Elephas maximus indicus: one gene and its partners. The protein of the gene in region 1 interacts with the protein of each later gene in a pairwise test. Links are inferred from orthologs where the notes say so. Each region holds a gene or a part of one and is shown in the gene's direction. Other genes may lie near its edges.

Region 1 (3,747 bases):
GATTACTATGTTGCTGAATTTTCCCGAACTACTCTTATTTCCTTGAAGCTGTGAAGCAGTTTTGCTTCAGAGAACTGCGTGAAACAAGTGAAGAAATCTGAGTGTTTAGGAGCCTTTATGGCAATTTTACAGCTCTTGACTTTAAGAATAAAACTTTTTAATTTATACTTTGTATGCCTTTTTTGTTTTATTTTGCTAATATTTTGCTTATTTTACAAAAGTGCGGTCCACAACGAATTGAAAATTTAAAAAAGAAAGGTTATGTCCAACAGTTTGAGAAGTGCTACTGTACAAAATTCACCAAACTAGGGATTCTTTTGACGTCTACCTGCCCAAAATGAGGGCTTAGATTATTTTTCTTCCTCTTTTTATCACTTTCGTGCCCCGGGGGTACATATAAAAAAAAAAACCCAGTGCCGTGGAGTCGATTCCGACTCATAGCGACAACAGGGAACTTTTTCAGCCTCTGAAGTTTAATGGGGAGCTGCTGTAGCACCTACAGGTAGGTGTGTTGCCAAAAGGCAGGGGCCTTTGACTGTTTGAAACTGAAGAAACAGACTTGTGCCACAACTTACTGTTTTTACAGGGTACTGAATGAGCTGTTTGAAATTTTTGTAGCAAAAATAAAGATTTTGAAAATTTTTGTTACGCGTATGTACCAACAGACCCCCTGCAGCACTCGGGGGCATAATTAGTGGTATGTGATACGTACCACGGAGCAAGAAAGAAAAAAAACTATACTACCTACCAAAAATTCAGACACAAGAATCAGCATACTTCCATTAATTAAAACATACGGTATGAATAAAAAATTTAAAGCAGAAAATAATTGGGTCACTAAAGAGATATCTATTTTACAATAGTTATTATAATTATCAATAAAGATAAAATGAAAACAATGGCTCTAGGACCTAACTGCCGCACCCCAGAAGAGAGGAAGCTGCGAGGAAGCGCCACCAGCCTTACAGGCGCCCCAATAAGGTGTCCACGCCAAGGCCCGCCCAGCGGGAACGAGGACGGCCACAGTGCGCATGCGCGCTTGTCAGCCCGCGCCCGTCGAGAAGACCCCGTGCGCTTCGGGAGACATCCCGCCTCCGCCTCCCTCTCGCCGGCTGCTGCGCCTGGAGAAGGGCTGGATGCGGTCACTTCCGGTGTCGCCGGTGTCTGCGTCCGGGTCAGCGCTGCCGCCGTCGCCGCCGCTGCCGTCCCTGCGGCCGGGGTGCTGGGACCGCGTCTCCGCCGCGCACCGAGGGGAGCGGGCTCCGCTCGGCGCCGCCTTCTGCGACCTGGCCGTCCGTCCTCCGTCGCCGGCCTGGAGAGGCGAAGAGGACGAGGGGGCCCAGGCGTCCTCCGGGGTGAGTGCGGCCTGGGAGGGTCGGCGCGGCGGCCTGACTAGGGACGAGCTGCGGCGGAGGGTCTGCGGGGCGCTGGCCAAGGCAGCCGCGGAGAGGGAGCCCGGGGGCTAGCCGTCGTGGGGCGCCGTGGAAGCCGCCCCGGAGGCGCTTCCTCCGTCCCCGCCCGGCGGAGATCCCCGCCCTTGGCTCGGCTCCGGTCTGCATTTGCCAGCCTTGCCCCCCACGCCTTTCCGTTCGCGGTGGTCGCGGTGCTCGGGACGGAGCTTCGCCGTCCCCGGACCACCCTCCGCAAGCTGACGGGGGTGCGACGACTGGGCCCCGCGGTTCCGTGTTTGTGACCAGCGCTGCTCCTGGTGCAAAACAAAGAGACTTGGGCTTCTGGTGTGCCTCGCAGCCTCGGGGAATAGACGCGGAAGCGGCATTTGTCATTAGGGCTTTATTAAAGCTTCCTGAGCCAGCCAGCCCAAATATAGGGTGTGTACGTGAAAAGTCGAGTTCCTGCATGGATTCAGACACTCTGTCTTTGGCCTGTAAACACCTGGCAAAATGATTTGGGTTCCCTGGGTGCGTCTGTTGCCACTGGAGATGTACGGGATCGCCTCGTGTTAAATCAGAAATAATATGAGTCTTTATCCCTTTTCTTTGAAGCAGTTCCGGAAACTCTTTGCAGACACAGCTTTTTCCTGTTCATCTAGGTAGTCACAATGCCTCCCGGATAATTGGTTCAGTAAATCAGTGCTAAGTATGTGATGGAAACCGGGGTGGAGTAGTGGTTAAGTGGTCGGGCTGCTAACCAAAAAGGTCTGCAGTTAGGATTTGGGTGTGTGTTTTTCATACTCACCTTTCTTTGACTAAGGCCTTTGTCTCCTAATACCTCATTTCTTTACTATTTCTTAAATATATTTTCCTAATGTTTGATTAAAATTTCTGCAATTTGTAAATGGATAATAAGTTTCCTCACAAATGTAGCTGAAGTTATCCAGTTAAGATACCTGCAGACTAATTTCTTCGTGATCTTCTTGTGCATTTTCTTCTACCGTGTACTTGTCATTGTACATTTTCTCTAAGCTCCATATCTGGTCGTCGCTGGTCACCTCTGTCGCAGTCAGATTCTATGGGGTTTAGACAGGAAGTATGGCAGGTCCACTTCTGCAAACGTGGACTTTGAACTAGATCATCACGAGTCAGTGCTGTTACAGTCATTAGACATTATGAGGACCGTTGAAGCTGAGTGTAACCAAATCTGGCCTTACAGGCGTATTCTGTATAAAGTTGCCACTGAACTGGAGACACTGTCCTGGATTAGAAACAGTTCTGACTAGGAACCTAGGTGTTAAACCTTGGTGTAGTTTCAGTTGTCTCCTATACAGTATCAAATAAAATGGCAGTGACAACACCAGTGTTTTATACCTCATAGAATTGTTGGTTAGGACATATGAGATGATTGGTGTTAAAGTGATTAGTAAATGTAAAAAACACTTTTTGGGAAGGAAGTTCAGTTGGGTCTTTGTGGAGTAACGCAGGTGAGAGGAGCAGTGAGGGCGAAACATCTGACGCAGGTAGTATAGCCAGAGCAGTAGGTTAGCTTTGACTGGCAGTGATGGCTTGTGAAGCTTAGACCCCGTGAAGCACAGTGCTGATATCCTGTGTTGGTAGTAATACTCCAAGCTTATGGTTTTATATTACAGCCAATATTTCTAACTCTACAACAAAGTGGCAGAGATCAGCTGTTAGACTTTAATCTTTTAGGGTCCTGGGGCATCTCCAAGATGTTCTGCATACTAATAATTTAATGTACCTTTTTGCTCTCTTCTTTTGAGTTTGTGTTCTGTCTTCTTTCGTTTAAAAAAGAAAAAAAAAAAAAAAACCTGTTGCCATCAAGTCACTTCCGACTCATAGCAACCCTATAAGTCTTCTCTCCTAGGTGCTATATGATTATATTTAGCTTTATTCTCACAATTTTGAGAAAATTTAGCACCATTCATGTTTTTCTTGGAATTTTGTTTTAACATTTCTGATAAAGCATCTCATTTATTTCATCCTTAAAAATCTGTGTGCAATTACAAACAAACAGAATTTTGGGGGGAGTGTTTTGGTGATCTTCATAAACACATAGGCTAGTCTAAAGTATTTTCCTATATGGCTACCAGTGTTGCCAAGCTCAGAGGACAAAACTGAACATAACTATTTAGAGTTTGAATGGGGAAGTGAAAGGCTTGCTTAGGCATTTCCTTCTGCCAGCTGTAATTGATTTCAGCATCGTCGTTGTTATTGTTAGGTGCCCTCAAGTCAATTTCGACTCATAGCAACCCTATGTACAAAGGGAAGGAAACACTGCCCGGTCCTGTGCCATGCTCACAGTTGTTGCTATGTTTGAGGCTATTTTTGCAGC
Region 2 (3,747 bases), on another chromosome or scaffold:
CCTGATTTTAACACAAGCTAATAGCATGTGGGAAGTCCCTGGGTGATACAAGTGGTTTGCACTTGACTACTAACCTAAAAGTTGGCAGCCTGAACCCAGCTAGAAGCACCATGGAATTTTATCTGCTTCTGTAAGGTTACAGCCAAGAAAACACTATGGAACAGTTCTACTCTGTAACACATGAGTTGCCATGAGTCAAAATTGACTTAACAGCAGCAACAGATAATAGCAGGTAGGGCTAAGCCATAGTTCTCTGTTTTATTTCTTTTCTTCATCTTCCCCTCCTCCCCTTTCTTTTGAGTTTGGATTATTCTGGCAACTAGAATGCCTTGTAGTTTGACAAAAAACAGGATTTTTGAGCTTGTTCTGGGGCTAGGTTAGCAAGGTTCAAGGCTTCGCCAACATTTCAAGAGATTGTTTTTAAGAAATAAATTTTTTAATAAATGTCTTATGGAAAACAAGTCATAAGCATTTTTTGCAGTGCTCTCTAGTAGTGGGAACCGAGTGCCTTGATCTCTCTAAACGTATTGCCCAGGTGCTGTTGTCATCCAGGCACGCAATTGTGAGACAGCTGCCCTGAGCTAGGGAGGGATAGTGAAGGAAAATCAACCGCCTGGGTAGGATTAGCTGTCCTGCTCTCTCTTTCATTAGTTGCTGAGCTCTGGCCAACAAAGATAGTAAGGACTGGTACAGACCTGGAGCCCTGGTAGTACAGTGGTTAAGAGATGGGTTGCTAATCAAAAGGCTGGCAGTTTGAGTTCACCACCGCTCCTTGGCACCCTGTGGGGGAGTTCTGCTCTGCGCTATAAGGTTGCTATGAGTTGGAATCAACTCGACAGTGACATGCTTTTTTTTTTTTTTTTTGGTACAGACCTGGAGGTCAAAGTTTAACAGAAAGAGCTTTCACAGCAGCACACACACAGCTGGTCTTCTGTTCTTTCTTTCCAGTGGTCATCGAATTAAATGTCTCTGTGGGAAAAAGCTGTGGTTCAGGTTCTCAGAGTTTTAGTCAGCTTCTCTCTTACTTTTCCAGACTGCGAATATACTTTAAGGCTATTAAAAACATTTGCAGTGATGAAAAAAGAAGAAAAAAGGGCAGGGACTCAATGATCCCACCCCAACTTCCCTTTGTCCAGTGACAACTGCCTAATCACTTTAATGTGCTGTCTTGTTTCCCCTAGCAGTGGCAAAACAATCTTTGTAGGGGAAAAATAAATAAACCACTACCTTGCATTTTTGACTGGGGAATACAGCTACCTCGAGTGAGCCTGTTTCTCCAGGGTGATTTTGGCAATTGCTTTAAGTTTGGCTCCCTGGTGAGGGCGTTGTTCTATCTTGGATGTGGGTGAAGGGAGGGACAGAGAGGTCGGGAATCCCATTTAGATCACAGCCAAAAACAAACCAGGAAGTAAGGCGAAATTATTGCCGTCTGTACATAGCTCAGGATGTTAAAAGCAATAGCCTGGGCTGGTTGGTTATTCATTAGCAAAAAGGAAAGAGCAGTGGGGGTCAAGACTGGTCAAACTACAGGAACAGGCTTGAAGCAGGGAGACAGCCCCTGGCAAAGGCAAGGCGTGGAGATTTTACCTGGACTCACTGTCTTTCCCTTCTTCACTTTTCCTTGGGACAAAGGCAAGATGACTCTTTCCTGTTCTCAGACATTTGTCAAGATAAAGCCTTCTTAATTTTATTTTGTTTTTGTTGTGGCATTCTTAGGCAGACAAGAAGAAAAGACACCTACCTTCCCACGGAGCAGCTGCCTTGCTCCTCCTCGCTTTGGCTCTGGGGCAGCAGCTACCACCTCAGGAAGAAAGCAAGGTTCACTGCAGCCAGACCTGCCAGATTGTTTTGAAACAGGGTTTTTGCACACTCTCCAAAGCATGGTGAGTTGGTGCTGATTTCCAAGTCGCCTGGTGGAGGGCAAGAAAGTGGATCTGCAGAGACAAAGAGGAGAGGGAGAAGCCTCTCTCTCTTCCTCCCCACCAGGTAGAGCACCATGGGCAACGTCTGTCTGAGGCTCTGGGCATACTTGCAGCCCTGTCTGCCCTGCTTATTCCAGGAGGTAGTCAAGCCGGTGGTGATTGAGAATCCAGGAGCCCGTTGCTCCCCTGATGCTCCCCGGCCACAGAAGAACGAGCCTCAGAGAAGCCATGGCCACTACTTTGTGGCTCTGTTTGATTACCAGGCTCGGACAGCAGAGGACCTGAGCTTCCACGCAGGGGACAAGCTCCAAATCCTGGACAGTTCCCACGAGGGTTGGTGGTTTGCCAGACACTTGGAGAAAAGGGGAGACGGCTCTGGCCAGCAACTCCAGGGCTATATTCCTTCTAACTATGTCGCTGAGGACAGAAGCATAGAGGCAGAGCCGTGAGTAGTACAAACCCAAACTTTATTTTCCCACTCTCAGAAGACCGGGTAATGAGTTTTCCTCCCTACCTATCCACAACCCCCGAATTTCCAGAGAGCTGCCCAGAAAGTATGAGGAAGTCCTGGCAAGAACCTACTAATTGAAATACACCTCCCCCACCCAGTGAGAGTGAACTTGGCTGATAGTTGTTGTTGAAAGAACTTGTATTACAGAATGTATACCCACAGGCCCTGGGTGCATTTTCATCAATATAAACAAATGGTGCACTTAATACTTTACCTTTCCTTTGGCTATAAAACCACTCACACTTCACTTTAACGATAGTAAATCATAGGACTTCCCTAAACCACAGTTTCAGATCGAAAGTCCAGCTCTTCCTATTTATTTTTTTTAACCTTTGAAGCACTCCCCTAACTCTAATCCTAATCCTTTTTCATTCTGACAGCACACACGGGGCTAACTAACACAAAAGATAACATTTAGAGCAGAACAGTTTTTACTTACATTTTCCCCAGTGAAATCACGTGTAGGCATTTTTCCTTTGAATTCCAGACCTTGAGTTACGCTACCCAACTTAAAATATCTTTCAGTTTTTACTAGCATTGGAAACTGGCCAGACATTTACTTAAGTTTTAACAAAAAAAATAGTAAAAACAATGATCATTTCCTCAGAAGAGAAGATAAAGACTCTGTATTTGAATGAATTCTATGAATTATAGTGGAACAAAAGGGGAAAATTTTGTGTGTTTATTCATCCTACTCATTCATTCATCCATGCAAGTGCCAGGCACAGTAGTAGGCATGGTGTGTGTGGGGTAAGGATAGAGGGACTGACACTAGTCGTGTTGAGTATAAAGTGGATGAAGCATGCTTCTGACAATGGGTGCTTAGGGTTTGATGGGCTGAGAGGAAAGTGGAGACTGTTGTACTGCCTTGTCCGGTGAAACCCAAATAAGAGAGTGACTCACAGGAAATGGACTCATTATAGAATGGATTTTAGCTGAAGAACCATTGAAGTTTCACTCATCTTCTCCTGCAATCATTTTTTTTTTTTTTTAATGCAAGCTGGAGCACCTCTTATTGGCTGAAAAAGTAAGATGTTAAGGAGGAATCATGGACATTGTTGCAGTTTTCCAAACTCTCAAATCCAAATAAAAAAGGTAGCTAGGGAATTTTTGAGATTCTGAACAATGCCAGGAACCTACGGATGTAAAGATGGTTTTAAAATTTATGCCTAGACAGAGATTGTAATTTAAAATTTTGATGAAGTGAATCGATCAGTTCTTAAATGAGAACATTTTTTTTCAGCAATAACCTATAAGACATATCTTTACTTATTTATTAAATGTTTGCTTACGTGCATTTGTGTGTATTCACTA
Region 3 (3,747 bases), on another chromosome or scaffold:
CCTTCCCTCTGCTCCCTTCCCCTGCCTCGCCCCACCACTTTGGCTCTGCCCATTGCTTCATCTGACTTTAATTCTCTGCATAGCCAGCTCCATCCAATATCTCTTTGCTTACATGCTTTGATCTGCTTCTCTTCAGTAGGAAGTAAACTCCTCGAGAGCAGGGGTCTTATATATCTGTTCACCAACACATCCTTGGCCCTTATTTGCGGGAATCTCAGGAGCTCGGCAAATACTTGTAGAAGGGATAAAGAATGAGGTAATAAACCTGCACAGGTGGGGGCAGTGGGGATGCACTAAAAATATGTTGTTGTTGTTGGCTGTCCTCGAGTTGAGCCCCTGACTCATGGTGATCTCATGTCCTGTGGAACAAAATGCCACCTGGTCCTGTGCCATCCCCGTGGCGATGGGTTGCTGTGATCCATAGGGTTTTCACTGGTTGGTTTTTTCAAGCAGATCACCAGGTCTTTCTTCCTAGTCCATCTTAGTCTGGATGCTCCGTAAAAACCTGTTCAGCTTCACAGCAACATGCAACCCTCCACCGACAGACAAGCGGTGGCTGTTCGTGAGGTGCACTGGCTGGGAACTGAACCTGGGTCTCCCGCATGGGAGAAAAGAATTCTACCACTGACCACCAGTGACCTAAGGAGATCTTAAGGAGGTAGAATCTTGGCTACCCGTGGGAAGTGGGGTACAGGGGAGAGGGCATCAGGGCTCCGGGTTTCTTGCCTGGGCGATGGGTGACTGGAGGTGCCACTTCCCATACCTGGCCTGGTCCTCCCTCCTCCACAGCACTTGGCAGTGAGTCAGGAGACACCTGTGCGTACCCTTCCAAACAGCTGCTGTGCCCAGCCTAACCGTGGTTGAGGAGCAGCACTGGAAGGTGGGTGATAGCTAGGCTGGGGTTTGGCCAGAATCACTAACAGCGTATGTGCGTTTCACTCTGCTTCATGGCCTCTGCCTTGGGCCCTGTAATTGCTGCGTCACCCTAGGAGCGCCCCCTTTGCACTCATAAATCAGATCGAAGTAGCTGGATCTGCTTGTGACAATCTGGGAGCGCTTACTTGCCTGGTGACTGCACAATTGCAGGTCAAAACAAGGCTGCCTGTCGATGCTGGGTGATACCATCTGAAAAAGACAGCGGTTCACAAGGGCAGGGGCTGGCAGGGGAACCACCTGGCCCTTGGGACATTTGCAGGTCCCCAGAAGGAGGGATCTCCCAAGCTGGCAGCAGGCAGAGGGCTGAGCTGGGCCCCCTGCATCTGCGGCGGCCGCCTGGGTGGCTGCTGAGTCAGCCTGCGGCACTGGCGATGCGGCAGGACAGGACCCAGGCGCTCTCTGACCTGGAAGTACTGCCCTTCAGGCGGGCTGGAGGTCGAGGCGCTGCAGCAAGCGGTGTGGTCTGCAGGACGGCCGGGAGGCTGCCAGGGTGCGACAGCCGAGGTGGGCATCTCGTCTCTGGCCAGGCACGGCTGGTCCAGCATCCCGTCCCTTCCCCCAGCCTCAAGTGCAGTTTGTGTGAGAGCCTGCGGCCGAGGGGCGCGCCTGGAAAGTCCCCTTGAGCTGCATTCCTGAGGCTCCCGGGGCTGGGGGAGAGGGCATGAGATGGGGAGGGCGTGGCGGTGAGTCTTGACCCACGACTCTAAGTTTTCCTGGAGAACGGAGACAGGCCCCCTGGCCGGGAGACCTCGAGCTCGCCACCGGCTGGGCAGGTCGGCAGCATCGTGACCTTTGGGGGGGCAGACGGGAGCCCTCCCTGCAGGCCCTGGGCGGACGTAGGGGGCGCGTCAGCCTCACACCAGGCACAGGAGCGTGGGTCTGGCGCCCGACACGCCCGGGGTGGGCCGGGGCCGCGGCCGGGACGTGGGTGGACGAGGCGCGCACCTCCTCCGACCACATTCCGGGCGGGTACCGGCTGGGAGGGGCGGCGGCCGAAGCGCCGGGTCACCCCACGGCCGCGTCCCAGCAGCCCAGCCGGGCCGCACCTCTCCCTGCCCCAGAGCCCGGCGCCCACCCCGGCGACGCCCCCGGATCTCGGCCGCCGAGCGTGGGCAGCGCAGCCCCCGGGAGCCGCGTGGGCGCCGCGGCCCGAGTCCCCCGCCGAGCGCTGGCCCCGCCCCCGGCGCGCGGGGGCGGGTGACGTCATCCTGGGCGCGGCGGCGCGCGGCATTGTGGGGCGGGGCCGGCCGCGCCGGGAGGGAGGAGACGCCATTTTCGGCGGCGGAAGCGGATCCGGCAGCGCGGAGCGGAGCTGAGGGCTGCGCTCGGCGCCGGGAGACACGGGGCGCGAGCCAGTGGGGATGCTGCGGGGCGGCGGCAGCGGCGTCGGCGTCCCTCGCTCGTGACTGCGGCGCTGTGCCTGGAGCGGCCGAGGCAGCGTCTCCTCAGAGCGTCGCCCCTCCGCGCGCAGCCCCGCCGCGTCCTGCCCGCGCGTGGCGAGCGCGGCCCCCGCAGGAGCAGGACGGTGAGTGCGGCGGCGCGGCGACGGCCGGGCGGTCCCGGCCCGATTCCGAGCGCGTCTCGGCCCCGCCGCGGCCCCGCGCCGGTCCCCTCTCCCGCCCCCGTGACTGCCGCGGGCGCTGCGTCCTCATCCCGGTCTCCATCCCGGTGTCCGCCTGCATCCCGGCCGCCCGCGTCCCGGCGCCGTTCTCCCGCGGGCAGGGGCGGCGGTTCCCGGGGACGGGGCGGCGGTTCCCGGGGACGCGGCGGCGGGGCTCGCTTTGTCCGGTCCTCCCTCTTCCTTCCGGCCGCCGCCCTCTCCGCGGCGCCGCCCTGGGCCGACGCGCCGGTGCCCCTCGCGGGCGATGGGAGCCGCCCCGGCTGCAGACCCCCTGTCTGGCCGGCGCCCCCGTCTTCTCACGGGCAGGTGGGCGAGGTTCCCGTCCGCGGCCTTAGCGCACGCTGGCGCTGCTGCGACCCAGCTGGCCGCGGCCTCCGTCCGGAGTACGTTCTCGGTTGCAAAATTTGTGCACGTTATTCTTTAAATGAAAATAAAGATTAAAAAAGTAAAATTGACGCGTGGTGGATTGCATGGCTTTTTAGCTAAAGATTTGTAGGTCCTGTAGGTCGTTCCCGGATGTATATATATGGATGTTTTTGTTGAAATTTGTTGCTGTCTGTTTTTTCTCATTGAAAGAATATGCTCAAAATTTACGTAGTAAGCATGTCATAAGGAGGACTTGGAAAAATGAGTTTTTATAGAGCGGGAAAACAGCAAAAATTTAAGATGTGTATACCATTTAAAGTGCAATGTAGATCAGTTAGAGCTTTGATGGCTTGCACAGTTAAATTCCAAGGTCTTTTTTTTTTTGGTACAGCATGACTAAGCCCTTGGTCAGAATCTGTAGCTTGGAATACATTGTAATGATCCAGTGAAAAGCCTCTTAGGAGATTGGAACGACCTCCTAAAAGCTAATAATTATAGAATTTACCTCTTTCGGGGATTGGTAACAAGCCACAGTTAGAGTGGAAATTTGACCCATTGTTCTGTTTCATAAGTGTTTGTAAGAATACCATGGTACTAAATATTACAATTTTCAGATGGTGTGGAATTATGGGAGGGTAGGCGGTCTGAGCTGTTTCTCCACGTCACCGAAGAATGCAACATCATGTTGCAGTTGGCGCTGGGTGATGGAGCGCCAGGCATGGGGACCCTCCCTGGGCCCTGCTGTGTACTTTTCTCCGCAGGTGTGAAGAAATGCATGGGGCTCGCACAGTGATTCTCTCCAGCCAGCGGGAGGGAGGGAATGA

Evidence for each region.
Region 2: the proteins of BNIP2 (region 1) and FRK interact in binary tests that used the Homo sapiens proteins (3 or more experiments, as listed by UniProt). The two-hybrid records come from large-scale screens. The link is inferred for Elephas maximus indicus from reciprocal best matches to the Homo sapiens genes BNIP2 and FRK.
Region 3: the proteins of BNIP2 (region 1) and KLC1 interact in binary tests that used the Homo sapiens proteins (3 or more experiments, as listed by UniProt). The two-hybrid records come from large-scale screens. The link is inferred for Elephas maximus indicus from reciprocal best matches to the Homo sapiens genes BNIP2 and KLC1.

Annotation. Positions count from the first base shown.
Region 1 is NC_064831.1:49,781,006-49,784,752, reverse strand, and holds the start of BNIP2 (BCL2/adenovirus E1B 19 kDa protein-interacting protein 2), read left to right. Parts: upstream 1-1,073; 5' UTR 1,074-1,136; coding exon 1,137-1,355; intron 1,356-3,747.
Region 2 is NC_064819.1:182,618,761-182,622,507, reverse strand, and holds the start of FRK (tyrosine-protein kinase FRK), read left to right. Parts: upstream 1-1,421; 5' UTR 1,422-1,996; coding exon 1,997-2,367; intron 2,368-3,747. UniProt on the Homo sapiens protein: Non-receptor tyrosine-protein kinase that negatively regulates cell proliferation.
Region 3 is NC_064828.1:117,880,605-117,884,351, forward strand, and holds the start of KLC1 (kinesin light chain 1), read left to right. Parts: upstream 1-1,349; 5' UTR 1,350-1,440; intron 1,441-2,181; exon of another isoform or gene 2,182-2,461; intron 2,462-3,747. UniProt on the Homo sapiens protein: Kinesin is a microtubule-associated force-producing protein that may play a role in organelle transport. The light chain may function in coupling of cargo to the heavy chain or in the modulation of its ATPase activity.